4 linked regions of the Arabidopsis thaliana genome follow. The protein of the gene in region 3 purifies or fractionates together with the protein of the main gene of each other region. This does not show direct contact. Each region holds a gene or a part of one and is shown on either strand. Other genes may lie near its edges.

Region 1 (8,355 bases), on a different chromosome or scaffold from region 3:
TTAAACCCTATGTTAGACTCTCCTATTGGAGTGTCTACTATACGAGCCAATGTCTGCTCATCTTCTTCTATCTGTTTCCTCTCTTTCTCCAATCTTCGTCTCTCGTGCCAATTGAGATTTTTTAACTTCTTCCGTGATGGTTCTACGATTACAGTTTTCTTCTCAGATTCCTGCAAAAGCATTTATATACGAATTTAAATATAATCCCAAAATCTCATTCAGCTATCAAACTAAACGAAATTTGTTGGAGATTATTCAAAATCAGTTGGACAAATTTGGATTCAGGAGCTTGACAATTGTGGACATAAGAAGATGAAAATTTTGGCCTGAAGATACCTTTCTTTTGGAGGTCTGGCTAAGTTCCTGAGGAATAAACTGAGAAAGGTCTCCCATGTACTCATCATCTTCTTCTTTCGCTGCTTCTCCTCCAAGCCCAGTCAGATTTCTCGTCGATTCTGCCATTGCCGACGGAGCTTGCGTTCGCGCTGAGAGGAAGGGAGAACAACAAAAAAAAAAAGAGAATCATTAATGGGCTTTAATTAGGCCCAATAATAATAGTATTTGGCTGTGTTCTCCACTATGTCGTTGCTGCCAATTTTCTTTGTTAGATCACGTTTGACATAAAAAGGACTAAGCTTTATCGGTTGAAGAAATTATCATGGATCCTACAGAAATGAGATACTTGGAAGAGGAAAATGGAGCGATGATGAAGACATTCAAAGATGCTGTGACTGGTTTTGCAACTGGAAAGACGTCCCTCGTATTGAAAGAAACGTTGCTCTTCCAGGACTCATCAGAACGTTGAAGATGATGGGAAGCCACGGGCTGACTTTTGCTGCCATTGGAGGTGTTCATTGGTGTTGAACAGTTGGTGCAGAACTTTAGAGCTAAGAGAGATTTCTTCAATGGAGCACACATTACAATGACTAAAGTAGCAAGAACTCATTATTAGCTGGATCCTGCGCTCATGGATATCTCTGTTCCATCCCATGTCCTTCTGTTTTTGTATCTTGAGATGTTCATGTTATGTTGCATTGTTTGGATGTTTCTACGAATATGAGATTCTGCAAATATGAGAAATTTTGGAGCTCTAAAACTTCTTCAGAAATTTGCACCTACCATGGTAGTAGCCTAACTCTTGCGTCCACTTAAATCTATTTGACCAAGACAAGACTATCTATCAAAACAGTTTTGCTTACAAGTTATAACTTATAACAATTCAAGTCATCATGCTCTATTTGAAGATGAGATTTTCAATAGAGAAGGGAACAAAAACGATGGATTGAAATGTCAAGGAAAGAAAAGCAGAAATCAAGAAAACAATAATCTAAACGAAAGCTTTAAGAGAGTATTTCTGTGCAGATAAGTTACGTTGTGAAGTATTGGTTCCAAACTACAAATCACTGAATCAGGCTGATTTCTCTTTTTTCTTTTTTCTTTTGGTCTTGGGGTGGGGTTTCTTCACTAGCAATATGCCAAATATGATCGAAGGAGCTCTACATGAACAAGACACTTTCCGCTTGGTCTATTATTCTTATTAGTCACCTTGTAGGCAGTAGAGTTGCCTTATATTTCCAGATGCTGTCGCAACAAAAACATAGACTAAGTCAAAACCTAATGAATGATGCATATCAATAAAGTAAAGTAGGGATCGATTCAGAGAAAGTTTTCTTACCGTAAAGCCAGTCTTTGAAATAAACATGGAGTGCACTTGATAGCTCTCGTTTCCGGTTTTCTTCTAGAGGCGCCTCTTTTAACGATCGTCTTGTTTCTTCAAAGTTCTTAAGCTGATGACAAAAAAAATTGCAGATACAAGATCAGATATGGACAAAAATAACAAATGCATTTGTTTATCTGGTTAAGTATAACTTTAAAACATACGTTTCTCTGCTGAGCTGCCATATAAGCATCTGGCAATGGAAATGGATTGTCTTTCGTCGAACCAAGCTCCGCGCCGCTAAACCAGTTTGGGATCTGTGCCATTGTCATTGATACCACCGAAAAACACGTCATTAGATGCTTCATGACACTGAAAAGCATTCACCAATTATTGACGTAAATGTTAGACCCAAATAGAAAATGTACCAAAAAGTTTACGAACTGGTCAGGGTCTACAGAAGCAGCTGATTCAGCCTGTGCATCAGCAACACCGGCAGGATGTGACAGGGAGTCATGTGGATCCACAGCTCCCAGGGCCAATGGTTTGTCCCATTTGTTGATCGTTGGCTCAAGCCCTACCTCCCTCATGTGCTCTTCCAAATGAGAGTAAAATGTATTATATGGAGCGACCTGAAACAAAGTCAAATTGATGCCAGCACTTTAAAAATAGAAGCCCATAATCACTAGAAGCAATATCTGACAATGCCCGCACTCTTAAAAACCAGTAAAACCTTCTTGAGGAAAACATTTGACTAAACGTATCTAGCAGCAGTCTAGCCACCCCTCCAAGTTTGTTTCCACTAGACTTGATGACGTGTCCGAAACGGCTTATTAACCAAACTAACCAAACTAAATCTAGTAAAAAGTCTAGCCACTCAATTTTTTTTACCTTAATATCAGAAAGGTAAATAAGAGCAACATGACATAAAACTTGTAAATTAAACCACAATCTTAAAGAGAAGCTTCACCTGCAGTTTGTGGTTATCACCAACAATAAGTGGCCGCTGATTGACTCCCAAGAAGAATACACATTCACGACAATTGGCAATGCACACTCGTTTGGCAGCTACAATCACATGAACTCTTTCACAGTGCTCAACTTTTATTGCCTGCAGAAATAAATACGGAATTATGTTTGATACATCTTTTAATAAAAGTTGGCAGATATTATAACTTGTTAAATGTTGCTTTGACTATCTTCAGAAAAGATAAAGAAGGAAGAAGCATTGTTTCCATACCTTGCCAACAGCTCCCAAAACTATAGTAGTATCAGAACATCCGTGCACAGTTGCATATCGCAATGGTGCTAAAAGATAAATTACAGAATCATGGCAATTGACAACCTGAAAAATACACAAAACAAGGAGTTGACATGCTTGCACAGAGATTCCATGACTGGAAGAAAAACGGAACAAGGAACAGTCAGACCTTCACAGATCTACCCCTTAGATCGGAGGCTTGCTTAACAAGTGAAGTCTTGGAGACTCCCTCGATTAAACACGGGCCTCTAGTACTAGGTGCAACCTTGTTCGGAGCAGCACAAACATCTGACATCGCATCATCTTGATCGTTAGAAGGTCCGTTCTCTTTTCCAGAAATTCTCTCAGTAATGCTTTCTAAAGCGGAAGCTATGTTTTGCAGAAGCCAGTCATGCACTTGGGAAGCGGGGACTGGAACAGCGGGCATATCCGGATCAGAATTTGCAAAAAAAGGAGTAGCTTGGCTCAATGGAGATACATCAGATCCCTTATCACCAAACTGAACAAGAAAACGCAGATGCTCGAACGCCTCCATAGAGAAAACCTGAACGATATTGGACAAGAAAAAAAAAATTAACTTGTGTTCTCTTTCATTTCCTAAAAAATTCTTATTCCAACATCAGAATTTTATATTCTTGTAGCTTAGAACAGTGACACCCCCTGAGAATATAAGAAAGATTAGAACTTACCAATGATTCATCTCCTTCTCCCTCCACAGGCTCTGCAAGGAGAGAAATGATGTTTGCTAAATGTTTTTGCAGATATGACAACTGATGAGCTTCATCATCTGCCTGTGATGGCATAAATCGACGGCTGTTGCTGCGAACAAGCTGCAGAAATGATGAAAAGGAGATATAAATAACAATTTTAGCTCCAATAAAGTTGGTTCGACCCATGTGATGAGAAACGATAGAATACCAAAGAACAGTGACTGTAGAAAACACTGAAAAGCTTAAGATTATATGACTGTTTTCTAAAAGACTCAATAGAACATCCATACCACACAGGAAACAGAATATTACAGGACTGGAGACCCGAGTCAAAATTCAAGAACACACCAAGCATTATCACCAAATAAACCACGTGAAAGGACCAAACAAAATAAGGTACAACGGAAAAAGAATCAGATTCCGAACCACAAAACAAAGCAAGCTGGCGACTGTTTGACTTTAGTTAGTAAACTAACCAATTACCATTGCCCCAGAGTCATCAGAGAAAGGGGACTGGCAATTAAATACAAGTAAGCATCTTCCTCATTGAGAATTGTTACGAAACTATAGCCACCATCAATTCAATTAATCACCCAAATTTCCGACATTGCTTAACTCTAAGTTTCAGGTAAATCAAATGACTCAGAAAACTTAAACTTGCATTGCAAATTTTAGTTAAATACAATGCGAAATGGAAATAAGTTATTCTCTACCACGTTCCAATTCCATACTCGAGTACAACAGTTCCATTTCAATACCAAACAAATCGCAGGCGCTGGGATTGAGGCACATTATAATAAGAGGGCCAAAAAAAGTAAGAAACTTGCCTGAATTGGCGATAACGCAGACAAGTATCCATCAAAAGCTGAAGTCGATGGCCAAACATCAGCCACCGCTGCGGAGTCCTTATGCGTCCTAGGAAGCAACTTCTTATACGATTGAATGTACAGGAACAAAATAAGATCCCGCAAATCAGCTCCGACGGAATCAACTTCCTCAGGTTTCGCCCGAACCAGAGGGTCAGACTCGGAATGAAGCACCGAACCGAGAGTCTCGAGAACGAGACGCGCATGGTCGCCGGAGATCTGGAGAACGTCGGCGATTGCAGCCGATCCAACGCGGTTATTCGAAGCCGCATCGGCTAGCTTCTGCTTGACAGGGGCTAAGGTTTGGATCGGGTCGGTGAAAACGAGTTTCTGGATCGGGAGGAGTCCGTGCTCGAAAGACACACGCCTTGGATGGATTACTGAATTCGGATTCGTGCTCGAGTTTGGTTCAGGGTCGGGTGCTGAAGGTGGTGGTGATTGGTCGATGAGGTCTTGTTCTTCAGTCATGATTGATTCGTCGCGCGAGGTAGAGAGACAGAAGAGATAGAGAGAGACTGGTCCGGTGGTGAAGTTGCAGATCTTTCTTTGGGTGACGAATCATTTCATTGAAGGAGAAGAGCAGAGAGAGAGATGGTTACAGTGCGTGCACGTGTATGTTAGTAACGTACGCTTCGTTTCTTTGGTCGTTGGATTTACGAGTAGATTAACCTTTGATCTGAGCTATGACACGTCAGATGAACGGAGATAACATGTTAACTAAAGAGGCCCATTTGAGAATTGAATGCAAATCGCATTTAAGTTTTAGTTAGGCCATTGTTGCAATAAGTTAGGTCCTAAGCGTTCGTCAAAAGGAGAAAAGGTGATCATCACAACTCATAATTAGGTTTTACAATAGGGAAATATACTTGGTTACCTAAGTACTTGTAAGTTGTCACTGTTAATTAAAATTGTTAGAAGATTAGTGGGAAAAAGAGAGATAAAATTGGGAAGTTTAGGCCAAAAGAACTCATAACTCGCTTTCATTGCAATTTAAATATTGTCCGCTTGTTTAAGGAAAATGGTTTGCAATGGGTAAACATCGTTTAAATGAGACGGTTATGTTTTTTAGCAGTTACAGAAAAAGGCGGGTAGAAAAAAACGGTTAGAAAAGATGAACAACCTAAAATTAAACCAATTGGTAATATCGTTTAAATAAGGCGGTTATTTTATTTAACACTTACAAAAAAGACTGATAAAAAAAAACGGTTAGAAAATATATTAAAAGAAAAAATGATAAATAATTTAAAATGAACCGTTAAATAATAGTTATGATTAGTAACAAACGGTTAAACAGTAAAAAAAAAAAACTAAATTAAAATATTTAATAAATAACTAAAAATATTTAAAAAACAAAGAAAAACAAAACTCTTTAGTAAATAATTCAAATACATTACAGTTTTAAAAATCTAAGAAACGTTAAATAACTAAAATATTCCAATGGTGAACAAGAGAGGTTGCAAACTCACCTATTTTGTTTAAGCTTTTAACCGTTTGTTTCAATCACCTATTCTTACCACTCGTTTCATCCGTCTATTGCAAGCAATTATTTGATTGGTAATCAAACTAACGGTTGAATTTATCGCCGTTAAATAAATGTTATCAAGCTACTATTGGAATTCGGAAAGGGAACACTATCAACTTTTGGATTCTTAGGTTATCTCATTCATTCAGCTAGCTCAATATTCTGATTTGATTTGATTTGATCCGTTTCGATTCGGTATTTGATTTAATTTGATTCGAAAAATCCGAATATTCGTAAGATTTTGGAGCAAAGCAAATAGAAAAATATAGTATTCGTAAAAATCGAATCAAATAATAAATATTGTTTTTTAAAAAATCGAATATCCGCTTCGATCCGTATCTTTTTATATATATTAGAAAATATAGTATATCTATATATAGATATCATAAATAGTTTGTGTATTGTTGTCATTTTATGTTTTTATGTTAAGATGTTTGTTTGATCATTTTTTTTTATGTTATGTTTTGATCAATGGCATCAAAAAACTATCGGGTTTTAGTTTTGGAATTAGTTTGATAATATTTTGTTGACCGGTGATACCAACAACGGTTATGTTTGGTATTTAGAACTTATTTTAAAAGCACACGGAGACACCAATTAAGGAACGCACGGATAAATTTTTTGAATATATGATATAGTTATATAGTATACATATTTTTTTAATATTTAAATGTATCAAAGCGGATATCCGCAAATATCACAAAAAATTCCGGATATTCGAAATTCCGGATATCTGGAAATTTTCGAAGTAAAGCGAATCACAAAATCAAGTATTCGTTTAAAACGAATCGAATAACAAATATCATAATTTTTCCGGATATCCGCTTCGTGCCCATACCTAATTCTGAGTATAAAATTTAATATTTTTTCTTTATGTAAATACACAAAAAGTGACCATGAACCGTACAGTTTAAAATAGTCATTTTTCGACGAAACAATTACCGTGACGTTGTCTTTAAACCTCTGGAGAAAAGATTTACATATTTTTGATAACTGGTTAAACTTGTTTAACGCATTAATCATCTCTTAAGAAAAAGAGTTGTATATATCTCTCTTGTAGATGTGATAAGATATGGATTACAAACTGTCATCTTAGCAAATTTGTCTTCTTCTTTTTTTTTTATCATTTGTCTTCTTATTACACTTATCAAATTATAGTATTAGTTATGACCGTAGTGGGTGACTCGATCGTGGTAAACGTACGGTGGACTGAAATCCTTCAAGTCGAAGCTATACAAATGCGAGCAAAGCATGATCAACACGTGTCATTTGCAACGACTACCAATATCTTCTTTAATTTCTATCTTACTCTAATTATAAAATTAGATTATTGTCCGTGTAAAGTAGCTAATACTTTTGATTAAATTATGTCAAAATACTTGGAGCAGAAGCATTCTCTTAACTACTCGGTGGCACATCATAAAGCTAGAACGAAAAGTAAAAGACGGCCCTCTCAGCAATTAAAGGTGCCACGACCACGAGACCGTTTCGATACTAAATGATTATATACAAATACTGAAATATAGTTAGTACTTGTTATTTAGTTTAAGAACTGAATATACAAATCAACAGATCAAACATATGCAATTTAACTACTAATATAGTATATATGTCCAACTGCCCAAGTCTTGTTTCATAAAATAATGAAGAAAACTTTGGTGACAAATGGAAAAAGAACATTTTGTAAACTAATTATGTCTACCCAACATTAGTCGGTAGAAAGATAATCGCATTTTTGTAACAATTGCTCCGAAGTGTGGATGATTTCCATTTTATACCTAATAAACTAAAATACCAAAGCCACAAGAAGAGTTCGCTAACGCGTTTAAAACTTGTCGTCTATCTATATCCATTTGATAGTATACATTTTGGAATTTTACCCAGAGTTATTTTCTTCTGATTCACCTAAACGAATCATGATGGCTTTTACATAGACAGAAAATAAAAACTTGTTAAAAAGCAAAAGCAGTGACCATTTATTTGTTTGTTTGGATAAACGAAGATAAAAAAATCCTATATCAAGTAAAAAAAGCATGCACATGTCTAGATAGATAAAACACATAAATGTAGGAATTATGAATTCGGATCGTGATAGAGATTTAGACGTTTAAGGTAAATTTTGAAGGAAAGAAAGATAAAATAAAAATACTTATGTAGACAGACAACAAGATAAAACGAAATGGGACCCCCTAACTTATTTATTTCGTTATTGACCAGAAAAATTAACAAAAAATAGTAACGGGGTCCAGCAAAAAGCAAAACACGGCTTTTGTATAAATGTACGTATGCTTCACCCAAAACACTCGAGGATGAGGAATCCAATGACTTCTTCAATTCCA
Region 2 (7,444 bases), on a different chromosome or scaffold from region 3:
CAATGCTTCATATGTTGAAAGTATTGGACGCATACAAATAGAGGAAACAGAGAGAGAGAGAATTAAGAAGACCTCGTTGAAGGTAGACGGAGGCATGCCACGACACAAGAAAGCCAAAGTCCGAATGGCAGCTCTGAGCATCGGCAAGTTAGTATCCTTGTACAGCCTAATCAGCAGTGGCGTCAATGCCCCACATTGAAGAACATAGTCACGGTGTATTGGATGATAAGCAACATTACCCAGTGCCAATATAGCCTGCAAGAATAATGTCAAAACTCATATCATTCATACTTATCTACTACATAGGTACAATCTTTACCTGTCCACGGACATTATCTGTCGAAGAAGCAAGAAGCGTGACTAAGATTGGAACAACCTTGTGATCAACTACCACATCCGGTTTAAAAGCAGCAATGATTGCTAGACCGCGAGCTGCTTCAAACTAGAAAAGACCATTGAATATATCACAATCAAAGATTACACTGATCATCGTAAAAAACAATTTGATGGGTTCTTTTTTTTCTTCTAACTTGAAGCTTAGGGAATTCTTCATTGTGAAGAAGGAAAACGAAACGAGCAACAATTCCAGATCGTATTAGATCTTTTGTACCAAGAGGCAAGTTTCTTTGCATTCCTGGACAGATATAAGAGCACAAAACTTAAAGAAATGTTAAAAGATGAAATCTTTCAGATCGAAACAGAGGAAGTTTTATTTACCATCTGATAGAATCCTGTTGATCTTGATAGCTGAATCAAGCTGTATCAAAGGATCTTTTGAATAAAGGCCATTGGCTAAACTCATAGCTGCTGAAACTTTGTGTGAGATCGTTTAGAGGAAGCTTGGGTCTTAAGCAACGTGGGTTTTCTCTCTTCTTTGACCTATCCAGAGAAATTTGCAAAACTTGAAGAGAAATCTGAGCTGAAATGTGAAAGAGGCAAAGAAATTTTGCAATTCAGTGCAAGAATGCAAACAAGAATGGAGCGAAAATAACAGATGAATTTACTACGACAATATCGTTATCAGAACCGGCTTGTTTGGTTTGATTTAATTTCGACTGAAACCGGTTCAGTTCAACCAAATTGATTCAGTTTGGTTTTGGGTTTAAATCCGGTTTAATAAAACCCAAATTTCAACATGTTAGGCGTGTTGGTTAGGATCATCGGATCATTGCCAATCTCGAATTACCCCCCAAATCGGAGTGAAATTAGGGTTTATATGTCTAATCACCTTAGCACCACCATGACGAAGACCACGATCAGCACAATTCTTCTTGTGGTTTCTCTGTTCGATCATAACTTGAGCTCTTGCTTTCATGGTTTCTGAATTGACCAAGAAGATCTGAAACAAACACAGAAGCAGATCATCATCATTTCCAACAGTTCATCTTCGATCACCCGAATCAGAATCAGATCATTTTATCTTCTCACTGTGGTCTAGCATTCTCTATTTTCAATCCAGATGAATTGTTTAGGGTTTTTGATCGAAGCTTAAGAAAAAATAGCAGAGACGAGAATGAAGAAGAGTTAACAACGAGCGAAGAAATAATAAAGCATCTCTGCACCTTCTTACTTGAGCTTGTTATCGAATTCATCTAAATTCTCAAAGTGGCGACCAAATTCGATGATTCAATTTCTCCATGGAAACGAAACACAAAGTGGTTTCGGAATATATGGGCCTTTTACGTTATACCAAAGCCCATAGCATAAGAGCCCATCCATTTCGAAAGAAAAAAAAAAAAACAAATCCGTCCCGCGTCAAAAAAACTGAATCCATCTTTAAAGTTTGACCGTTAGTTCGGTAAACAAATAATTTAACCCTTTCTTAATTTTGACCGTTAGTTCGGTAAATTTGAGTAAAATTTTTTCCTAAAAGACAAAACAATGTGGATTCCAACAGGAAGTGGAACTTGGTTCTCTAACAGGAAGTGGAACTTGATTCCAATATGATGAGTAGCTGTTAGAGAACCAAGTTCCACTTCCTGTTGGAATCCACATTGTTTTGTCTTTTAGGACCATCATATTATGTGCATGCTTTTGGTTCAATATGACAGCTATTTCTTTACATCAAAATCTAATATCAGATTATGTGGGATCTTAACGAGAAAAATCAAACTGGAATTCCGGATGAGAACAACCATCACCACCTTCATCTTCCTCTTCAACTAACCTTCCATCTTCCTCTACAAGCCCGTATGTTTGCAGAATCTTCACAGCCTTCTCGTAGATCTCATTGTTGCCATGGTGCTGCAAGTTCTCAATCTTTTCTAGCCCTTCTGCATCTTCAATCATTTGAGAGTAACAGTTCACGTCTCTTAGGTTCTTGTCCACCTCTCCAGCAATCAAAATCATTTCCAGTCCACCTAGAGACACTAAGATGATTCTTAGATCTGGACAAACCAGGATGTCACATAAAGCTTTTATGCAATTCTGCTCCACCAAGTATCTGATACACACCAATGGATATTGTGAATATAGATGATCAATAAGCATGAAAAAAGTGATAAAGAAAGAAGACAGGGATGTACTTGATTTGATTAGGAGAACCACCCACGGAAGCATTTGAAATTGCCCATATAGCTTCTTTCTTTATGTCAAATTCAGCATGTTGTGCCAGATTGACCAACGATGGAATCAAATTTGCATCAATAACCGACTGTTATCATCATCAATGCAAGAAAGACAAATAGAAAATATTTAGTGATAGCAACGTAAATTGTTCAAGTTCTGCAACAGTAACAATCACAAACTCATGCTCACCTGAATTTGTTCTTCTAAACCGGCAGTGATGTTTGAAATCGTCCAGCAAGCTTCCCTCCTTATGCCTCTCATATGGTTTTGAGTAAGCAGGTCAGCAAGAACGGGTAAAACACCACAATTGATCACACACTGAAAAATAAGTTCAAAGAGTTATTTGGTTACAAAATCTAATCTCAACACAGTACTCAAGCAACATATAAATGAAGTGTTCTCCAGGATATAATCATCCAAGATACAGGATTACAAATTAAGCTTTTGATAGTGCTATTGCTTTGAAAAACAATAAATTCACACGGTGTACAAGAGACGTGTTCTTGAAGGCTCCATCAAAGGAATATGAATTACATACGTGAGTCTGCTGACTATTTCCAGAAACTATATTCCCAATGCAACGAAGTGCAGGAACAAGTACAACTGGAGAAGCGTGTCTGCAAAAGAAAAAAATGGCGAGCCTTCATTATCCAAACATGTATCAAACGGTTAAATTTTTTAATATTTGGAGAGAAGTACTAACTGGAGAAGTTCAACTAGTCTTGGGACAACACCCGCCTCGATCACACTTTGGATATTTTCATTTGAAGCATCAGACAGATTCGAAAGCGCCCAGCAAGCATCTATCAAGACTTGTTCATCATCCGAATAAACAAGTCTTTTAAGTACAGGGAGAACATGTTTCACCTATAAATCATGTTTCATAAGTTTAAGTATTGCACCTATAAAACTGAGGAAATAGAGAAGTAAGAATACCAGGTCAAAGGGTGGTGAAGGCTTGCCACGGAAGAAGTTTGATAAAGTCCAAGTCGCATTTCTAAGTATCGACAATGTAGCATGGTTATTCAGCTGATGCAACAGTGGAATAAATGCCCCAGAGTTAAGAACAAAGTCACGGCACTGTATTGAATCACCAGCAACATTACCCAGTCCCCATATAGCCTGCAAATTAAGTGTAACATCAAACTCTTCAAAATTTGAACTCACATATTTAACCATTCATACTCAGAAGAAGCACTATACCTGCTCACGGACATCATCATCAGGGGAAGCAAGAAGCTGAACAAAGAGTGGCACAACACCGTGATCAATCACTACCTTGGTATGCTCAGATGCGCCAGAAGCAATGTTTGTTAAAGCCCAAGCAGCCTCAAACTATAAAAAAGATCAAAGAATTCAGAACCAAAGATTACACTAATCATCAAAGATGGGAACTTTAAGTCTAACCTGAAGCTTAGGGTTATCATCCTTCTTAAGAAACTCTACAAAACGTGGCACAACTCCAGATTTTATCACATTATCAGTAGGTGGACTTCTATCTGAACAATATATAAAACCACAAGACTTTAAGAAACCATTCAAGTAAATATAAGTTCGTATCTTTTTCAACTCAAGATCAAAGAAAAGTAAAGAGTTTTACCGAATGATAGAACCACCCTGAACCGAGTTGTGTACTCAAGCTGCAATGAAGGATCATCCGAGAAAACCCCAGTGATCATATTCGCTATCTCCAACTACAACCATCACCAGAGAGGATCTAATTTAATTACCCAATTCGAAAGCATTCGAGTATAATGATAAAGGTCGTATCTTTCAAAACCTAGGTTTCACTAATCCAAAACCAAAGATCAAACTTTTACCAAACTCTCAAAGGGGTCGTTGGAAATCAACTTGTAATCAGGAGGCAAAACTTTTACACGACGTTTCTTCATCAAATTTTCGTTGCGTTTACTCTTGCGAATCTCGACTAAAAAGTCTTCTCTTCTTCTGCGTCCTTCTTCCGCATCTACAGAGACTTTGTAACGGATTCGACGGATCTCTGTCTTCGTGCTCGGTCGCAAGGACATAGCTTTCTCGATTCTTCGACCTCTCTAAATCAATTCACAAAATCGAAGCGAAACCCTAGAAATTTGAACTGAATGGGATTTGCAAAGTGAAGAAGAGAATGCAAGAGTGGTGAAGATGAAGAAGAAGCGACAACAGTTTCAATTTGAAGAAGCGGGAGGGTTTTCTAATTATCGTTTTTAATTGTTAACCGTATTTATACAGTAGATTGAATCATAAATCATTGATAATCTAAATTTAAGATAAAGTTTACAATCATATTATTAAGAGCTCCAAATTGAAATAATTAGTCAATAATTATTATAAGCTAAAATACTTGAATCTAAACCGAACTAAACCGTGAAGTTGGTTTAGTTACTCGTTACCGACGATAAAAAGAACCATATTTGCAGAGTTTACTCGTTAGATGTGTAGTGTTTTCTCCGGCGAAGGAAAACCTACTTTTCCGGTAAAGTTCATGTATTGATTGGAAAAAGTAGGTTTTGGTTTGTGATTTTGAATTGCTTATGTAAGAAGTAAAAACATTGTTTTTTCTCATATGATTATGTTAACTACTATACATTGTACACTATACTATATGTGCAAGTTGCTTTAAAGAAACAAGATATTCCAAAGACGTCGATTCATCTCTAACAGTAGCAAGACCTTCTCGAGCAACCGTAGCCATCCGATTTGTAGGCGATCTTGGAGGAGATGCATAAAGAACTGATGCCTCGATGATCTCTCTATGTGTGTTTTCAAGATCCTTAGAGATTCGATGTGCTTGAAGAGCGGTTAGGTAAAGTCCCGTGGCTAGAAAGACGGTTATAAGTGAGAACACTCCGGCCGCTGAAAACAAGCCTTGCCGGATTACTAGACAACTAGGTTTTGGTTTAGACCAGTTCTTTAGATGTCCTGATTCCACACTAAGTGCAACCAACAGTAGAACCTCTCCAACACCAAAGCAAACCCTTATAGGAACAAAAAAGAATAATATAATCACAAAATTATCATTAACTTAAGCTATGGTCAGTAACATAAATATGTCATTTCACGATTGCTTATAGTTAGGATTTTTTTATTTTTATTTTATTTTTTATAACTACATGACATTAATTCGTTGCGTTAGAATAAGTCTACGTACCATGTTGAGACGAAGAAGAAGGCAGCTTGAAAAGTGAGCCTCTTCGCAGGAACAGAGTCAGGATCCCACTCAACCAGAACCAGAGACGGCGATGTGGTGACTGCGATAAGTAAGTACATGTGGAAGCCCACCATCGCCACCGCTAGTCCCACAAACGCAATCGCACCACACAACAACGGCGTTTTCCCGCTACCATTATACACGCATGTTTTGCTTCCCCATGTCGCCTATTGCAAATGATTGACAACATATTAATGGCAATGATATAACTTATACTAAATACTATTATAATCGAACGATATGGTAATTAATATAAAACATGAATCAATATAGATTTCTGATTTATTTTGAAAATATAAATGATGAAAACATATGAGAGAAAGTTTATATACATCCCTGTATAGTAATGTACCTGAGATCTTGTGGCTTCGGCATAGAGGCAGAGAACAAAGCAGGAGAGGCCAAAGATTATTGTCAAAACAGCGATGAAAATACCGGTTTTGCTGCTGAGATCTGTGGTTTTAGGGTTTGGAACAAGATCTTGATGGGTCACAGCTCGCACTCTTGTTCTCGACATGTCTCTCGTCAATTTCTAATAGATAGGAATCGAAGTTACATGTTTTGAGAGTTATTATACTTTGATTTGTTTTACATATATGAGAGGCATTGAAAGTGGGAAGAAAAGAATAAACTGGAGTATATTTGATAAATAAATGAAAAAGGAGAGGAGGATAGAAGAATTGCTTCAGCCAAAGGTTGCTTAAAGGCCAAGATTCGCAGGTTCTCTTTCGGATGTCTTTTTAGAAATACTATACTGTTTTCGTATAGTGTCTATTAAACGATGATGTGTAAAATATATAATGTGACGAGAGTTCGTTAATGGAGTTAGTTGGATGATTCTTTTCATATATTACACGTGTATAAGAACATTCTTTTCTTCTTTTTATTTTGTGTTCATACAAAGAACATCGTACCTTTTATTATCTTGAAAGTAAATAAAGATAAAGATAAAAAGATAAGGTGATGAACTTTGTTCGTGAGTCGTGAGTGACTGAGTGTTGTCTTATTTCTATATACTATTTATTAGCATAATCATGTGAGGGCGTGTAATTTTTAATAGGAAGCCAAAAGCCTTCCACACCCCACCATAAATAACCAATAGAGAAGCGGTTTCTGATACTCCATTTCAAAAGCAAAGACATATAGTGACAGAAAAAACGAGCTCGTGTCACTGATATCTTTAGCTTCGAATTGGATCAACACTACTTGTCAAGTTGTCATCACCTTAATGTTAGTGTCTCGCCGATGTTGTGTTTGCCGTTGTGATAGTATATATTTTTATTGTTGCCGACACTGGTCGCATCGGTTTTGAAAAGAACATGGTTGTGTATTAAGTACTCATCACTCATGTGGTATTTTCATGACAAAGTTTGTGATGTCGTCACTCGTCGTAAGAATTTTGAATTTAATGTACCTAAATTGTGCTATATGAGTTATGAAAGTTGAGGTTACCATCGCCAAAGCTCGAAATTATGATGTGAAAATATTGGGTTTAAAATTTTACTTATACTCAAAGTCCATGGTATAAGCACCTTAAGGCATATATAGATTAGGATCTTTGACAAAAAAAAAAAAAAAAAAAAAAAAAAAGCCATGAACTAGGATCCAAAATTTGTATGGACATTGAAATTTTGATTTTTTAAAACAAAATTGATATATATAAAAAAA
Region 3 (7,826 bases):
GCCGGGTTGTATGAGCAAGGACTTGTCTTACAGCAGCTAAGATGTTGTGGTGTCCTAGAGGTCGTTCGAATATCCCGGTCTGGATTTCCCACGAGAATGTTTCATCATAAATTTGCCCGAAGGTAACAACTCCATCTCCAGTTGGTGCACTTTCATTGTATTGCATGTCCTCTTATAATAGGCTTCCCATACTTTTTAGTTGCAATAATGTTGAATGGTCATGCTGTTTTTCTTTTGTCATACTTTAGGTATGGTTTCCTTCTGCTGGAGAACATTGCAGCAAAAGATCCTCTAAGTGTTTCGGTTGCAATTCTCCATCAGTTTAATATCTTGCCAGAGATGTACCAAGTTGGCTACACAAAATTGTTTTTCAGAACTGGCCAGGTACTATAACTAGTCGTCTGATGTCTTGACTTTAGGGGCCACAAATTAGACATTCTTACTGCAGTATACTTGCTTCACCATTGCAGATTGGGGTTCTTGAAGATACAAGGAATCGCACTCTGCATGGCATTTTACGTCTTCAAAGTTATTTTAGAGGGCACCAAGCTCGCTGTCGTCTAAAAGAGCTTAAAACCGGAATTACTATTCTTCAATCATGTATTGCCCCTTGTCTCATTTCAATATCTTGGTTTGTATTTGTTATGTCGTTAGAAACCATACCTCACACATCCTTCTGTTTCAGTTGTTCGTGGAGAAAAGATGAGAAAGGAATACACGGAGTTACTGCAGAGGCATCGAGCTTCTGCTGCTATACAAAGCCATGTTAAGAGAAGGATTGCTAGCCAACAGTATAAAGCCACAGTTGATGCATCTGCTGTAATACAATCAGGTAAAATAGGGTTGATTAATTCTCATGATTGAAACAAATTAAACCTCAAAATATATTTTTAAAAAATAGAAGTTTCAAGAAATGCTGAAACCTTTTTCTGTAGCAATTCGTGGAGAGCTGGTTAGAAGATGTGCGGGGGATATTGGATGGCTTAGTTCTGGTGGCACCAAGGTCCTCTCAAAGCTTTCATTCTCTTCGTGCATTTGACTACATGATATATATGCATATTGCTAGACTCTTAAACCAATTCTTTATGTAGAGAAATGAGTCAGACGAGGTGCTAGTGAAGGCATCATATCTTTCCGATCTTCAGCGTAGGGTTCTTAGAACCGAAGCTGCTCTTCGTGAGAAAGAAGAGGAGAACGACATCCTCCGACAAAGAGTCCAGCAGTACGATAACCGGTGGTCTGAATATGAAACAAAGATGAAATCCATGGAAGAAATTTGGCAAAAGCAGATGAAATCTTTGCAATCCAGTCTTTCCATCGCAAAGAAAAGCCTAGAGGTTGAGGACTCAGCGAGAAACTCGGATGCATCGGTGAATGCAAGCGATGCAACAGATTTAGATTCAGGAGGTAGTCATTACCAAATGGGCCATGGCAGGTCAAGAAGTGTAGGCGTGGGTTTAAGCGTGATAAGCCGGTTAGCTGAGGAATTTGGACAAAGAGCTCAGGTATTTGGTGACGACAGAAAGTTCTTGATGGAAGTGAAATCTGGTCAGGTGGAAGCAAACTTGAATCCGGACCGGGAGCTACGAAGGCTGAAACAGATGTTTGAGACATGGAAGAAAGATTATGGAGGGAGACTAAGGGAAACGAAACTGATACTTAGCAAACTTGGGAGTGAAGAAACAGGTGGTTCAGCGGAGAAGGTGAAGATGAATTGGTGGGGGAGGTTGAGGAGTACTAGGTATTAATGGTTACTTCCTTTTCTTGAGACGCACGTCTCCTTTTCTACACGTTTGATGTAACTACGGTTTTTGGCTTTGCTGCTAGAAGTGAGAAGGCTCCTTGGGACTGAAAGAGTCATGTTTTTCATTTGCCACCCAAATCTATTGGCAAATTCAGTAAATAATTTTTATATTATACAGTATATCTATTTGTCAAGGATTCCAAAGTCCAGTGAACCATTGCTGTATTTGAATATAAATAGTCGTTGCAAAAACAAATCAATATTTATATTTCTTAAATAGTTAAGTTTTTTATCAAGCTAATTAAAATGGACATAGCGAGAAATAACTACAAGGTGGTAAACTATGATAATAATATAAATTTCCTTACAAGTTTGTTTGTTTGTAAACATATGGAGTTAGAAAGGGAAAAAAAAATTGTATAGATTTTATACAAGATTGTTTTGAGTTTAAAAAATCTTTATCGTGTTTGGACAATGTGTATTTTAAAAACTATTTAACTACTAGTTTTTTTGGCCGATTTCAGTGATATCTCGACTTAGACTCTACAAAAATTTAGATAATTTGATGGATAAAATTACATATGATAAATCATGCACTTGTATCAGATGGTCAGTTGGTGGAATCCCTCTTCAACAAGTGATCTTTCTTGGAATGTTGTCGTGGGTTAAAAAAAAACTCAATCCAGCCCAAACCCGAAATGAACATGTCTGAGAAAAATCATTTCTATTCTTGCAGCTGAGTAAACTCTTCACAATTTAAATTTCGAATTACCTTTGCGATGCATCACTTTTTTAAGTGGAACTAAGTTTCGGATCACCTCTCGACCAAGTATAAACCAAACCAACACCAATATATACTTTCCGTAATATTTGGCCCTCCGACTAGTGATTTTTTCGGATGTAATTTGAACATTGGAGATTTTTTGGTGAGACAAATTCCATTTTGTCATTTTTAGAGGTCATCATAACAATACTTTTCCTTCTCAAATTATCCCTAACCAGAAGCCAAATGGGAAGACCCAAACATAAACATTGAAATGAATCGAGTGAGGTTCGCTCTTGAACGATCGTATTGCTAATGCCTATCCAAGATCATTGATTCATTTCTAACATATCCCGTACGGTCTCCCACAAACAACCTTCCTCAAAAGTTCAACATCACATAGATTTCGAAATGTGTCTTTAGACACAATTTGTTTAACAAGACTTTTAAATAATTTTTTTTAGGAGTTTTTAATTATCAAAAAGGTCTTACTCAAATTCAACAACACATATATCGAAATGTGTTTTTTTAAAAAAATTAAAAAGAAGAAAAAATACTATAAAGAAGGTTTAAGTATTTGTGGAATTTTATTTAGGTGTTATCAATTGTCACATTCAAGTAGACAAATAAAATTACCAAGAAAAGAATTGCAAAAACATTGAAAATGTGTAGTATACTCCATTAAAGATTTGTGTAATGAAGTAATAGATAAAAATTAAATTGATGTTTAATATGTTGCCAAAAAAATGATTAAAAATAAATATCCAACGAATAGAGTTTGGGGATGGAGGAAGACCAAATCGGGTTCGGGTCGAGATTGTTTGGTTCGTTGTGTTTCCCCTTTCTCTCTCTCTCCCTCTTTCCCCCTTACGTAACCCTAAGCGGACGGAGCAATGCTCTGCTAGATCTATCTTTCTTTCAATTCTTCACCAGAGATCGTCGAGACTCACCATTGAAATCGAAGAAACAGCACCAATTTCCACTTCACCACCGAAAGAGAGAGACAGAGAGGATAATAAAAGGCCGCCATGGATTTAGATCAATGGATTTCCAAGGTTAAAGACGGCCAACATCTCTCTGAGGACGAGCTTCAACTTCTCTGCGAATACGTACGCCTTCTTCTTCTTTCTTCTTTCTTCTCTTGCTTGCTTTCTCTTCCCCGAATATTCATGCATCTACAAAAACCCAATTCTTCGCTTACTCTTTTGAGACTTTAGAGCTTGCTTTGTGGCACTTTACTTTGAATCTGGTCTCTCTCCCTTACTGTTTCCTTTGCCATTTTGGTCTACGGATTTTAGGGTTTTTCTCTCATTTTTCCAATAGAGGATTTATTGACTTTGCTATTTCAATTCTAAATTCTAAGGAATTAGGGATAAGTTTAGCTCTTCTTTAGCCAATTTATGGATGCACCAAGTCCACGCTTGCAAACTGTTATTTGAGGATTTATTATAGTAATTTTAGTGTTGAAACTTGTAGTAGCAGCCGTCTTCTTCTTTTTTCATGACAATGATTTGCTAAGATACTCTGGTAATTCACAAGATATTTTGACTATTATATAGGTGAAAGAAATTCTTATTGAGGAATCAAATGTACAACCTGTCAACAGTCCTGTCACCGTCTGTGGTGATATCCATGGCCAGTTTCATGATCTTATGAAACTTTTCCAGACCGGAGGTCATGTTCCCGAGACCAATTACATATTTATGGTATAGACTCTGACTTTGGGCGTAGGCTCGTATGACATATCAATATGTAACACATAGTTTAATTATCTGTGGGGGATTTTCTCAGGGGGATTTCGTTGATAGAGGTTACAACAGTCTTGAAGTTTTCACCATTCTTTTGCTTCTTAAAGCAAGGTAAGATTTTCCGTAGAAATTGTGCGTTATATATGTCATGGATCGTCATCCTTCCGTTTCACACTGTATATCATAGTTCTCTTGAGAATGCTCTTTAAGCTGTAAACGCATTGCTCTACTGGAAAATCGATTTAACTTGTATTCCAGGAAATTTATATTCTAACTTACTTTGCTGTGAGCTTAAAATCACTCGTTTCCTTGTATTTCAATATGTAGACATCCAGCCAATATCACTCTTTTGCGTGGAAATCATGAAAGTAGACAGCTAACTCAGGTATGCATTATTCTAATCCATTTATATCTATTGTTGCTGACTTGCTGTGCTCTTCACGCAGTTACTGGTTGAGAAGTAATTTTCGCTCAATTGTTATAACTAGTTTTGAAAGTTTATTTTGTACATGTGGCAATGCCATGCTAGATATAGGCATAGATGTTAACTAAGATGCATTTTATGTGAACCCTTTGCAACCATAAGTTTTCTTCTCGGAAGCTCTTGATTTATCTCTATCCTACACCATATCCTATATCTTTTAACATCCACTGTCAAGGACGAAGATTGTAGTGATATTTTGTGCCCTGCAGGTTCATTTTTATAGTTTTCTTAAATTGTCGTACCAATTTTATATTTGCTAGGTGTATGGTTTCTATGACGAATGCCAAAGGAAGTATGGTAATGCTAATGCTTGGAGATATTGCACGGATGTTTTTGACTATCTTACACTTTCAGCTATTATAGATGGCACTGTAAGTATTTCTCAGCTTCTTTGGCATTGTGTTATGATGTGTTCTTGTATAATTTTATGAATGCATAAGTTAGCTGTATACCATATTAAAACGTATTGCATCCTCAATGTAGGTTCTATGTGTTCATGGTGGCCTTTCACCTGATGTACGGACAATTGACCAGGTTAAAATGTGCTATTTTAAATTACTTTTGGTTTTCACCATGCAAGTGTTATTTATGATTAGATTAAATCTCATTTACTCATTTAGATGTTATTTTGTTCTCTAGATAAGATTGATTGAGCGGAATTGCGAAATACCGCATGAAGGACCCTTCTGTGATCTTATGTGGAGTGATCCTGAAGATATTGAAACATGGGCTGTCAGTCCACGTGGAGCTGGTTGGCTTTTCGGGTCCAGGGTTACCACTGAGGTATTTATATTTTTTTCTGGGGTTGAAATTTGAATAAGGTGTGAAAAGAAATAAATGTATTTCAGTTCCCTGATCTGTGGTTTTGCTTCTTGTGCAGTTTAACCATATTAACAATCTTGATCTAGTATGTCGCGCTCACCAGCTTGTACAAGAAGGTCTCAAGTACATGTTCCAAGATAAAGGTCTTGTAACTGTAAGTGCCTTGCTTCCTTATGATCATTTTGGATAGTTGGAAGTATAATCTGCTTGGTGATGTTTCTTCTCTTTATTTTTTTTGTAAAGGTGTGGTCTGCGCCTAATTACTGCTACCGTTGTGGGAATGTGGCTTCTATATTGAGTTTCAATGACAACATGGTGAGGCATTTGTTTTCTCTTTTGTTACTGATCTGCCACAATATCTTGTTTCATGTTCTTCTTACTTTTATGCACTCGTCTTCGGATTCTACTTTTCCTTTTTGATTAAATAAGTTACTGCCTTTGATACTTGTCTCTCGACCCAAACATATACACATGAGTGACTCTTGTGAGATAGAGTTATGATGTTTAAGCCATTTATTTAGTAACAATTCACAGTTCGCGTGGAATCAGTCTGTCCATATTGATTGTGCTCTGTGTGTTACTTTTCATATATAGACCTGTTTCTGGGAAGTGTTTAGGATCTGGTCCTCACTGACAGTAATGATTTGTTAAAATATGCTTAATTACCAGGAAAGGGAAGTGAAGTTCTTCACGGAGACAGAAGAGAACAATCAAATGAGAGGGCCAAGGACAGGTGTTCCTTATTTCCTGTGATTCATGATGATGATCCTACATCATTATTAGTCTCGTATTGCTCTTATCAAGTTAGCCATTATCATGATTGCCATTGGCTTATGTTCTTTCAAGGTATATCTTCTGATGTTGTTTACACTTCCATTGTTTTTTTTTTCCTTTTTCCATTTTGGAAACATTTTCTTGTGAAAGTGAATGTCACTTTGGTAATTTTAGTGGTTTTGATGCACTTTAACCTGAACCTCTTCTGGATGTTATTATTATACGTGCTTTCTTTCTTGTTTTGTTTCATCTTTGTTCTGTAAGCAAGACCAATTTTTATCATCTCAGCTTATTTGCAGTTTAGCACGGTTTGATTAGGTTCTGGGTTAATCTCAGGCTTATAAAATTCATCAAGCTCAAAAATAGTCCACTACAAGAACATAGAAGACCATTAATCAACATTCAACAGTAATTTGTTTCTAATCTAATTATTTGGTTTTGTTCAATAATCCTAGCAAAAATTCACGAAAGAGTTAATAATTTTGTAACCGGAATCATAGATAGGCCGGTTTATCCAAACCGGATATGACCTGTCCTCTATTAACAAACTGGTCGCGAGTCTCTAGGCAACTAAAACGGACACGTAATATGATAATAAGGCGTGGACTCGTATCTCTCGGCACTCACTTTCTCGCGACTCGTAGTCGTCTTCTCCACTTCGATACTCCTCTCTCTTGCCTCGTTCCTCTTGTTCCTCGCCGCCGCTCTATTCTACGGCTGTCTTCTTCTTTTTCCTCTTCCTCTGAAACCGGAGCTGCGTCAGTGCGGTTGACATCACCGAGAGACATGGCGGAATCGAGATCCCCTCCTGTAGCGAAGAAGGTGGAGCATGTGATGGAGATGTTCGGTGACGTTAGGGTTGACAATTACTACTGGCTCCGTGACGATTCTCGCACCAATCCCGACATGCTTTCTTATCTTCGTGAAGAAAATCACTACACTGATTTCGTCATGTCTGGTGAGTCTTTTCAAGTTGCCTCTGTCAGTGACGTTGTGATACTTAGGGGATTAGGGTTTTTAGCTTTCCTTGTTTTCAATTTGGAGTATTAGTGACTTGTTGATTATGCAAGCTTGTGATAAATTAGACTGGAAAATAAAAATTCAGGGACCAAGCAATTTGAGAATCAGCTGTTTGCTGAAATAAGAGGGAGGATCAAAGAAGATGATATATCTGCACCTCTACGCAAGGGTCCTTACTATTATTATGAGAAAAATCTTCAAGGAAAGGAATATATTCAGCACTGTAGACGTTTGATCACTGACAACAAAGCTGAGCCTTCTGTCTATGATACTATGCCAACTGGTCCAGATGCTCCTCCTGAGCATGTGATATTGGATGAGAATACCAAGGCTCAAGAGCATGACTACTACAGAATTGGGGCCTTCAAGGTTTGACTAGAAAATAGACTTTAAAAATCGTCCTAAGAGATATCCTTTTCAAACTTGCTCTTTACTAACTTGATGTTTCATTTTCTTGATTCTTTTTATAGG
Region 4 (8,240 bases), on a different chromosome or scaffold from region 3:
CATTTGGCAATCTTAACATTAACTGGTTCGCCTTTTCCGGTCTTGACATTTCGGCTCTCAAGACCAAGATTGTTATTACTTTTGCTCTTGATTTTAATATCATCTTGTCTAATTCCAAGAGCTGCTTGTCTCTTCTTTCTGCTCTTGATACCACACGCATTGCACAATGACTGCAAACAAAGTCAATCCATGATCAGACCAGAGAACAAATAGTGAACAATCATCAAACAGATCTAAAATTAAAGAGACATAACCATCTCTTAGTAAAAAAGGCATCATAAAAACAGTGTAACAATAATCTTAACCTGATCAATTAGTAATAAGGCTTCAAACACAGAATCAAAACAAAACATAGAGATCACATAACAAATTTAAATATCAACCACAGATTGACACAAACCTCGCATACCTAGACTATGTATACACATGATCACATCAATGAGACAAAACCCACTAGCAACAGAGCTAAGCACACAAGATCAACCTACATTTTAAGTGGATTCAAGTACCTATTTGACTAGATCTAACACATGAGACCTTAAAGCTTGGATTTTTAAGGGTTTAAAAGAAAATGGTAGAGAGAGATCATGATCCTTACTTTAGGGCCAGCAGGTCCACCACGCCAAAGAGGAGTCCTGCTTGTTCCGCAATCAACGCATGTCTTCTTCGTATCACCTCCACTTCCACTGCTACTACAGTTCCCGTTGTCTACATCGGACGAATCTCCCGCCGATTCGAGCTTCGTCGTCTTGGTTTCTTCCGTCATTGACATCTACAAAAGAAAAAGACAATTATTAAACGTGATCATCAACTACAAGTAAGAGAAGGATCAAAAACGATCATGGAAACTCACATTGATCCACTTCGAAGCGAGATAGGATTGAGAAGAATAGAAAACTCTGAAACAGAAGAAAGGAGAGTAACGGAAATGGCAGAGAAGGATCAAAGAGCTCTTCTTCTGCTTGAATGGCTCTCTGTGAAGTTTAGAGTGAAGATGATGATGATAAGGAAGAGAGAGAGACGCCGCAGAAGAATAACGGATAAAACAAACGGAGAGGGTTTTTATAATAAAGGAGGAGGCGGGGACTAATAAACCCTAGATTTCTCTTTCTTAATTACTTTTTTACCCTCGAGCGCGGTGTTTTATTACTATAGAACCACCCGCCAAAAAATAAAACAACCACAAACTGAAAAAAGAAGAGGGAAAATCATTTTACAACAACAACTTGTAACAAAGATCTTGTGGAAGGGGGTTTTTTGGTATCTTGCTTGCTTTGGTACCAAATTTGAAATTTTAATTCAAAACCTGGCGCACGAAATACATTGGATTTACTCGTTGTGGTTGTTTGCCACGTTAGATTTCCCTAATTGGGCTTAGAGATATGCATGCATTTTTTACCAGTCTTTTAGATATTTTGTGTAATTCTTCACAATGAAATACGAAAAATTTATGTAATAATATTAGGTATATCGAAGACATGCTCGTGTAGTGCAACTTTTTTTGTATGAAAATTACAAAACATCTCTCTTTTTGGTCAATTTCATCTTATTTAAATTTGTGTAATCGACTTATGAATATTTGAGTTCTTTTGGGTCCAAGGCATACCTACGCTTATAAACGACAGGGATTGAACAAAACATAGGATTTTTTTATTATTGAAACCCTCCCTACTTGAAGTTGACGATAACCATTAATAACATCGATTAATGGAAATATGTTGAAACTAGATACGCGTGCATATGTAGACAATAGCCCAAAATGACTTGGACCGCACTAAAATAGATTATAAAAAAAAACATTTACTATAAACAATAAAGAGACGAACCAATTGGGCTTTTATGTCACCAATAAGACCAAATAAAGTTTGACCAACTTTTTTATGTTTGACTTTGCAGTGTTGTGTAGTACAAATGTAACAAAAACCCAGAGAGACACATTCTCATCAGATCACACTTTAAAAACTTATAAACCCTTTCCCAAAAATAAATATCCCTTGATGACTCCTACCCAACTCCCCCCCAACAAGCTTATTCCATGACTCAAACCCACCAACCACTGGATCTGACCGGACCAGGCCAGACTAAGTAAGGCACCCCATCTGACTTTTACACAGAAGACCAGACTCTCTAATCATACCCTTTTTAACCAGTGCCCCCAAACTCTTTAAGCTCCTTCGACTCTTCAAATCGTCATGTTCAGCTCCTGTGGAAGCAAAACCAGACTCACAGATTCACACAAGGTAGACACACAGGCAGATTTACTCTGTTTGCTAGTCTAGCCTTAGATGCTTAGATAAATTAGTCCCAAGTAGTGAGGTTTTTTTACCTTCACTGGAAGTTGAATCCACCTGGTGGTACGGCTGCATCATTACCTCCTCCAAACTGGAAGCCTTGTGCAGAGGGATCACCAGGTGGTAAAGTTTCATCTTCCTCTTCCAACCAGTACGTTTCAAGAATCTTCACTGCCTTCTCATAGATTTCGCTGTTGTCATGACTCTGCAGATTCTCAATCTTTTCTAATCCCTCAGCATCATCGATCAGCTGTGCATAAAAGTTTACATCCCCGGTATTTCCTGTGACCTTTTCAGCTTCCCCAACTTTCAAAATGTTCTCCAATCCTTCCAGACACACAGTGATAATCCTTGGATCAGGGCACACCAAAAGATCACACAGTGGTTTCACGACTCCCTGTTCCACCATGTACCTAAAACACACAACGGAATAACTTAATTGACTGTTTGAAAAATAACCAACAAAGATTCTAAAGGAGTTGAGATCAACAGAACATGGAGTTTATATCGGATAATCTTACTTGATTTGGTCAGGAGAACCACCTGAAGTGGCATTTGATATTGCCCACGCAGCTTCTTTCTTTATATCAAACTCCGCATTTTGAAGCAGATTGACAAGAGGGCAAATCAAACCAGCTTCACACACAGCCTGCAATACCACAACAATATTAGAGAACATAAACACACAGAACATCTTTCTTCAAACAACAAAAAGGCTTCTGAAACATGTCTTCCAACATTAGTGATTAGTTTATGAGAAACTGATAAGCTGAGCAGAAACAACAATCTTTAGCAAAAGTTCACCTGAATCTGGTCCCTGTTTCCAGCAGTGATATTTGAGATTGTCCAGCAAGCTTCCTTTTTGATGCTCTTCTTATGATTGTGAGTCAGAAGGCTCAAAAGGCTAAGAAGTGCACCATGACTAATTACACACTGTAGAACCAACCAAAAAAGAAAGCAAAATAAGTGAGGAATGGTACATGTGTGAGATTCTTAAGAGTATTATACATACTGCCTTAAATTAGTCTAACTATTCAAAAGGAATGTTAGGTATTGCATAACTAGGGTAAAAAACATGCAGGGGGGGAAATAAAATCTGGGAAGAATTGACAGTTCCCATTCTAGAGATTCATCTAGGAAGAATTTGACAAGTAACTTTTGACAACTAAATGTCATTATCAACAAACTCAGATTCAGCTTTCTAGCCAGTGTATTTCATTCTTCCCATCAGTATTGGACCATGTATCCTGAATAATATGAATGAATGACACTATAAAAGAACAAACATACCTGTGTCTGCAGATCATCTCCAGTGACAATGTTACCAATACTACGAAGGGCAGGAATAAGCACAGATGGTGATTGATGCCTACAGCAAAATAAAATTGATAATATTCATTAACACATAACATTCATTATACAAAAGCACGGTGAAATCATGGGATTTGAAACTCACTGGAGAAGCTCGACGAGTCGAGGAACAACACCTGCCTCAATGACAGATTGGATTTTGTCATTTGTGCCATCGGAAAGGTAAGAGAGAGCCCAACATGCATCCGTTAACACTTCCTCATCAGTCGAATGAATCAGGCGTTCAAGGGCTGGGAGTGCTGGACGGACCTGTTATTAAGAGATCACAAGAATTAAAAAGAAAAACTCCTTCATCTTTGGGCAGAGATTAAGATAGGAATGAGAGACAAACCTGGTCAAAGGGAGGCTGTGGCTTGCCCCTGCAGAAATTAGAGAGGGTCCAAGTAGCATTTCTCAGCATCGAGAGTTTAGCATGCTCATTCAACTGAGAGAGTAATGGTATCAAAGCTCCTTGACCAAGGACAAGATCTCTGCACCGTGGAGAATCACCAGCAACATTCCCTAATGCCCACACAGCCTTACACATGAAAAGATTAAGAAACAAACAAGCTTTAGAACATGCTTGTTCCCGAAAACAAACAAAATTGACAGTATATTGAGTCATGAGAAAAAACCATAAACACATATCTTACCTGCTCACGGACATCATCACTCTGAGAAGCCAATAGTTGAACAAAAATCGGAACAGCACCATGTTCAATGACCACCTTTGTATTCTCTGAAGTCCCAGAAGCAATGTTTGTCAATGCCCAAGCAGCCTCAAACTGAAATCACACACACACACACAAGTAATTAGTATCAGAAGACAATTCTAGCAAAATATGACAGATACATAACGATCCACCAAACCTGAAGCTGTGGATAATCCTCTCTAGTGAGAAATTCCACAAACCGAGGCACAACACCAGCATCAATCACTTCTTCAATCGGAGGACTACGCTCAATAGAAAGCAATTTCCGGAACTGAGTAGTCGCTTCAAGCTGTAAACTTCTATCATCTGACCAAACACCACCAACCATAGCAGGCAAACTCTCCAACTAGCCAAAACCAAAACCAAAATCAAAATCGAATCGATCTAAACCAATCAAATCCTAGGAAACGGTTCCAGATCGCTAGTAATATTACCTTCTTCTCAACAGTTGATGAAGCAGGAACAGGAGAAGGAGCGAATTGAGGTAGCTGATTAGCTTGAAGGCCTTCACGACGCTTCTTCTGTAAGCTTTCTTCACGCTTACTCTTACGGATCTCGACCATGTTGTCCTCTCTCCTCCGTCTTCCTTCCTCAGCATCCACCGCCACTTTGTAGCGGTTCCGGCGAACCTCAGTCTTAGCGTTAGGTCTCAAAGACATGGTGGCTAATACGAATCTCCTCTTGCTTCGTGGCGGTGAATGAAAAATGAGCCAACGAGAGTGGAGACGATGTATGTATATATATGAAAAGTGTATGTATAGAATCGGCGGATTGGTAGAGGATGATAAACCCTAAATGAAGTAGAGGGGAACGAGAAAAGAGGAAAAAAGGCACAGAGAGAAAGATTGAATTTCGTTGGTTTACAAAAACATTTTGGTAAATCTAAATTTTAAGATTCGATACAGAGACCATTAATTTACTTAAGTTGACTTGTTTATTCATTAGTCTTTTCGCACCGACTAAATTTAATTTAAAATAAAATACAGTTTTTTTTTTGGCAAAACTTGGTTTTGTGAAAGTAATTTTAAAAGTATATTATATTCGTTTAAGAAAGTTTAGAGTAGAGAACTTCGCATTTGAGTTTGACGTTGAGGAAGACGTATGAGCAATGCTCATATATTGGGGTAGATTCGTCTGTTGGAGCCATAACGATTGCAAGTACCTCTGGTAGCATTATCTAGGAGGTGAAAATCTGTTATTCTCTCTCCGTTCTTATCTGATGAAAGCTAATAACAGATTTTCACCTCAACTTTCATGGTATCAGGTCTTTCCCACAGACTATAATGAATTTTAATTTAAATGAAAAAATCGTCAGAAAAAAATACTTATGTTTTTTTAATCAAACATCTGGCTTTGTGAAATGGTGCATACGAATTTAAAAGTGTACTCGTTATAAATAAACACAATCATCATTACTTAAGACGGCTCAGCCAAGTTTGGAACTTTAAAGAGAAGGTTTTTTTAAGAAGTATACACATATATGTACGGCTGAGACATCTGATCTCTGAGGTCTTTTTAATGTCTCTTTAAAGTTAAGACTCCAGGAAAAATAATAACATGGTGATGGAGGTTGGCTTTTAGCGGAGATCGAGGACTTCATATTTGAGTTTGGCATTGAGGAAGACGTGTGAGCAATGCTCGTAGATTGGGTTACCGTCTTCTGATTCTTCGTGTGGGTGGAAGCCTCGTTGCTGGCAGTTTCGGATCACAGATACGCCTGATGGATCAGAGAGATGGAATATTCCATGAGGTGTTGATTCGTCTGTTGGTGCCATTACGATTGCCACCGCCTCCGGTAGCATTATCTGGGACAATAGATATAGATGATGGTTTTACTATAATCGCATCATAAGTGATTAACATAGAGATATTGATAAGGGGAGTTTGTTACCTGATACGAGTAGTGTGTGTGTAGATCAACTGATGACATGAAGCAAGTTTGTGTAGGGTGTGTCTGAAACCAAAATGTAAATTAGCAAGACGAATCGATAAAGCTTATCAACTAGTGGATATATGGATTCACAATTGTTCTGAGTAACGTTTTGGTAAGTCATTATCTGGAAATGGAAGATTTTTTAGTTCGGGTGAGAGAACTTACATGAATCCAACCCAAGGGAAATAGAGAGAGTCTGTCCTGTACTCGAATATTTCTTCTCGTTTAGTGTTTGGCACTGTACATTACCCAAATGATGATGAACCTAAGTGTGAGAAGCATACCAGCGAGAATTAAAAAGATTGTTATTGATGTAAATGGTTAAGAAAAATGAAGAACATACAGAATCTGAGGTAGACTCCTGCTTTGGGATTATGAGAGTAGTGATATGAAAAACCCTGTTTTTCTGTAAACATGGCAAATAGACAGAATATAAGTAATGGCGAGCTGATCATGATATTGGAATCAAAAATTATAAATGCAAAGGTTCCATCTACTCACCAGAGAACCAGCAAGTACTCCACAAGTTTCTAAATTCCGTTCTGTGTTTGACCGAGCTAGCCTTAGGAAATCATCCATTATGCGCACAGGCTTCAGCAAATTTAAATAAAGGGTGACAACATTAGTAGTAGATTAAGAAGAGGTGAAAGAGAAAGATTTCCAGAACCGATTCTAGCAAGCTTTTAAGAAGCTGTAATGGTCATGAATCCAATACTTCGATGATTTAATGTGTTGATTCTTGAACACATACCAAATAATTAGACTAATCATGGATAATTTTCTACTTGATATGCATATCCCTTCCACTTTACTCTCACAAACACTATGGAATTGGTGGAAACTGCACAAAAGTGAAAGAAGATACAGCTGGAACATACCACATGCAAATGCTGATAAGAATTGCTGCCCTCTTTTCCTTCTAGGGAAGGAATTGCAGGTCCTGGTCTAGGATCAGCTACTTTAGATGGGCAAATTTGGGCTAACTCTTGATGCACTTGAGCAAGCACGGGAGGAGGGGAAGGTTGCTTCATACCGACAAACTGAAACGGGTCTTCAGTTGCGTCGCTAATAAACTGGGAATTTACTGCCTCAGAATGACGCTGCCATCGACCATCATCTAAGGAGAGCACAGAGTTCAGTGTTGAGACTTCTTGAGAATCACCATTAAGTGATGCTGAGGAACTGCTAGGTCCAGCTTCAATTAAACTGCAGAAATACATGGAGTCAGTTTGAAATAGCCATGACTTCTTTAAGGAAAAGCTTAGAAGGTAACAGAAGATGAGTACTTACCCTGAATTGTCCGCAGAACCCCAATCTGTATTACTCGGATATTGAACCTATCATTCCATACAAAATAAAGATTTTTCTCAGTTCCTTCAGATCTAAGATAATTAAACATTGAATTGGACCAAGAGTAAAAGAAAGAGTGAGAAAATGTGAGAAAGGTAACAATGATCAGCACTATACCTTTATCTCTGACTTGGGTGCAACCATTTGCCTTTTAAGACCATTCGGACCTAGAAATGAATGTCTTGACAAGGTTGCTTGGTTTGGAGGCAGGAAATCAAAAGATCTGCAGGTTCAGGAGCACAATTAAAGTCTCAATGATCATCCCAGATTAATATGGAGTAGCACTTGAGTCTCATAGACTCATTTCTTGTTTCAATATCCCAAAACCAAAGAAGAATTCCACAAAACGCAACCAATAAACATGATACCATAAATAGAAAATCCAAGCAGCATTGGCAGTTTAGTCCATCAGAATGGTAGTTTTTCTGGTAATAACTAATAAGTGACCCAAACATCGTATATATATGGTGATCACAGAAACAGGTAGATGTAAAGCAAGAAAACCAGTGACACATATCGGATGGCATACCCCTATTTCTCAGGGTTCCTAAAGCTCAGAGAGCTTATAGTGTTTGAATTCCTATTAAGCAGAATTACCGACAA

Evidence for each region.
Region 1: the proteins of FYPP1 (region 3) and AT3G57890 fractionate together in Arabidopsis thaliana (co-fractionation; one large-scale study listed by BioGRID). This does not show direct contact.
Region 2: the proteins of FYPP1 (region 3) and IMPA-5 fractionate together in Arabidopsis thaliana (co-fractionation; one large-scale study listed by BioGRID). This does not show direct contact.
Region 4: the proteins of FYPP1 (region 3) and IMPA-2 fractionate together in Arabidopsis thaliana (co-fractionation; one large-scale study listed by BioGRID). This does not show direct contact.

The regions. Positions count from the first base shown.
Region 1 is NC_003074.8:21,434,878-21,443,232, reverse strand, and holds AT3G57890 (Tubulin binding cofactor C domain-containing protein), read right to left. Parts: upstream 5,150-8,355; 5' UTR 4,963-5,149; coding exon 4,456-4,962; intron 3,945-4,455; coding exon 3,837-3,944; intron 3,749-3,836; coding exon 3,608-3,748; intron 3,463-3,607; coding exon 3,088-3,462; intron 3,003-3,087; coding exon 2,898-3,002; intron 2,769-2,897; coding exon 2,628-2,768; intron 2,290-2,627; coding exon 2,086-2,289; intron 1,975-2,085; coding exon 1,882-1,974; intron 1,788-1,881; coding exon 1,676-1,787; intron 1,582-1,675; coding exon 1,538-1,581; 3' UTR 1,345-1,537; downstream 1-1,344. Other genes in the region: AT3G57910 (D111/G-patch domain-containing protein), read right to left, coding at 1-170, 337-462; AT3G57900 (import inner membrane translocase subunit Tim17/Tim22/Tim23 family protein), read left to right, coding at 659-760, 848-952.
Region 2 is NC_003076.8:19,989,922-19,997,365, forward strand, and holds IMPA-5 (importin alpha), read right to left. Parts: upstream 4,752-7,444; 5' UTR 4,596-4,751; coding exon 4,389-4,595; intron 4,263-4,388; coding exon 4,169-4,262; intron 4,068-4,168; coding exon 3,976-4,067; intron 3,904-3,975; coding exon 3,772-3,903; intron 3,691-3,771; coding exon 3,505-3,690; intron 3,436-3,504; coding exon 3,272-3,435; intron 3,186-3,271; coding exon 3,107-3,185; intron 2,887-3,106; coding exon 2,758-2,886; intron 2,654-2,757; coding exon 2,526-2,653; intron 2,444-2,525; coding exon 2,095-2,443; 3' UTR 2,025-2,094; downstream 1-2,024. Other genes in the region: AT5G49305 (importin subunit alpha), read right to left, coding at 73-255, 320-442, 531-634, 718-802; AT5G49320 (transmembrane protein, putative (DUF1218)), read right to left, coding at 5,162-5,543, 5,717-5,943, 6,129-6,293. UniProt on the Arabidopsis thaliana protein: Binds to conventional NLS motifs and mediates nuclear protein import across the nuclear envelope.
Region 3 is NC_003070.9:18,655,359-18,663,184, forward strand, and holds FYPP1 (Calcineurin-like metallo-phosphoesterase superfamily protein), read left to right. Parts: upstream 1-3,149; 5' UTR 3,150-3,535; coding exon 3,536-3,616; intron 3,617-4,066; coding exon 4,067-4,213; intron 4,214-4,298; coding exon 4,299-4,366; intron 4,367-4,582; coding exon 4,583-4,640; intron 4,641-4,999; coding exon 5,000-5,110; intron 5,111-5,222; coding exon 5,223-5,273; intron 5,274-5,378; coding exon 5,379-5,522; intron 5,523-5,619; coding exon 5,620-5,715; intron 5,716-5,804; coding exon 5,805-5,876; intron 5,877-6,230; coding exon 6,231-6,314; 3' UTR 6,315-6,694; downstream 6,695-7,826. Other genes in the region: VIIIA (P-loop containing nucleoside triphosphate hydrolases superfamily protein), read left to right, coding at 1-122, 249-384, 471-600, 686-832, 936-1,003, 1,092-1,748; AT1G50380 (Prolyl oligopeptidase family protein), read left to right, coding at 6,924-7,293, 7,441-7,724, 7,826-7,826. UniProt on the Arabidopsis thaliana protein: Catalytic subunit of protein phosphatase 6 (PP6). Dephosphorylates phosphorylated phytochromes, with a preference toward Pfr forms.
Region 4 is NC_003075.7:9,132,122-9,140,361, forward strand, and holds IMPA-2 (importin alpha), read right to left. Parts: upstream 5,295-8,240; 5' UTR 5,014-5,294; coding exon 4,789-5,013; intron 4,701-4,788; coding exon 4,512-4,700; intron 4,427-4,511; coding exon 4,295-4,426; intron 4,180-4,294; coding exon 3,994-4,179; intron 3,912-3,993; coding exon 3,748-3,911; intron 3,661-3,747; coding exon 3,582-3,660; intron 3,225-3,581; coding exon 3,096-3,224; intron 2,941-3,095; coding exon 2,813-2,940; intron 2,705-2,812; coding exon 2,329-2,704; 3' UTR 2,327-2,328; exon of another isoform or gene 2,204-2,326; 3' UTR 1,629-2,203; downstream 1-1,628. Other genes in the region: AT4G16141 (GATA type zinc finger transcription factor family protein), read right to left, coding at 1-170, 599-772.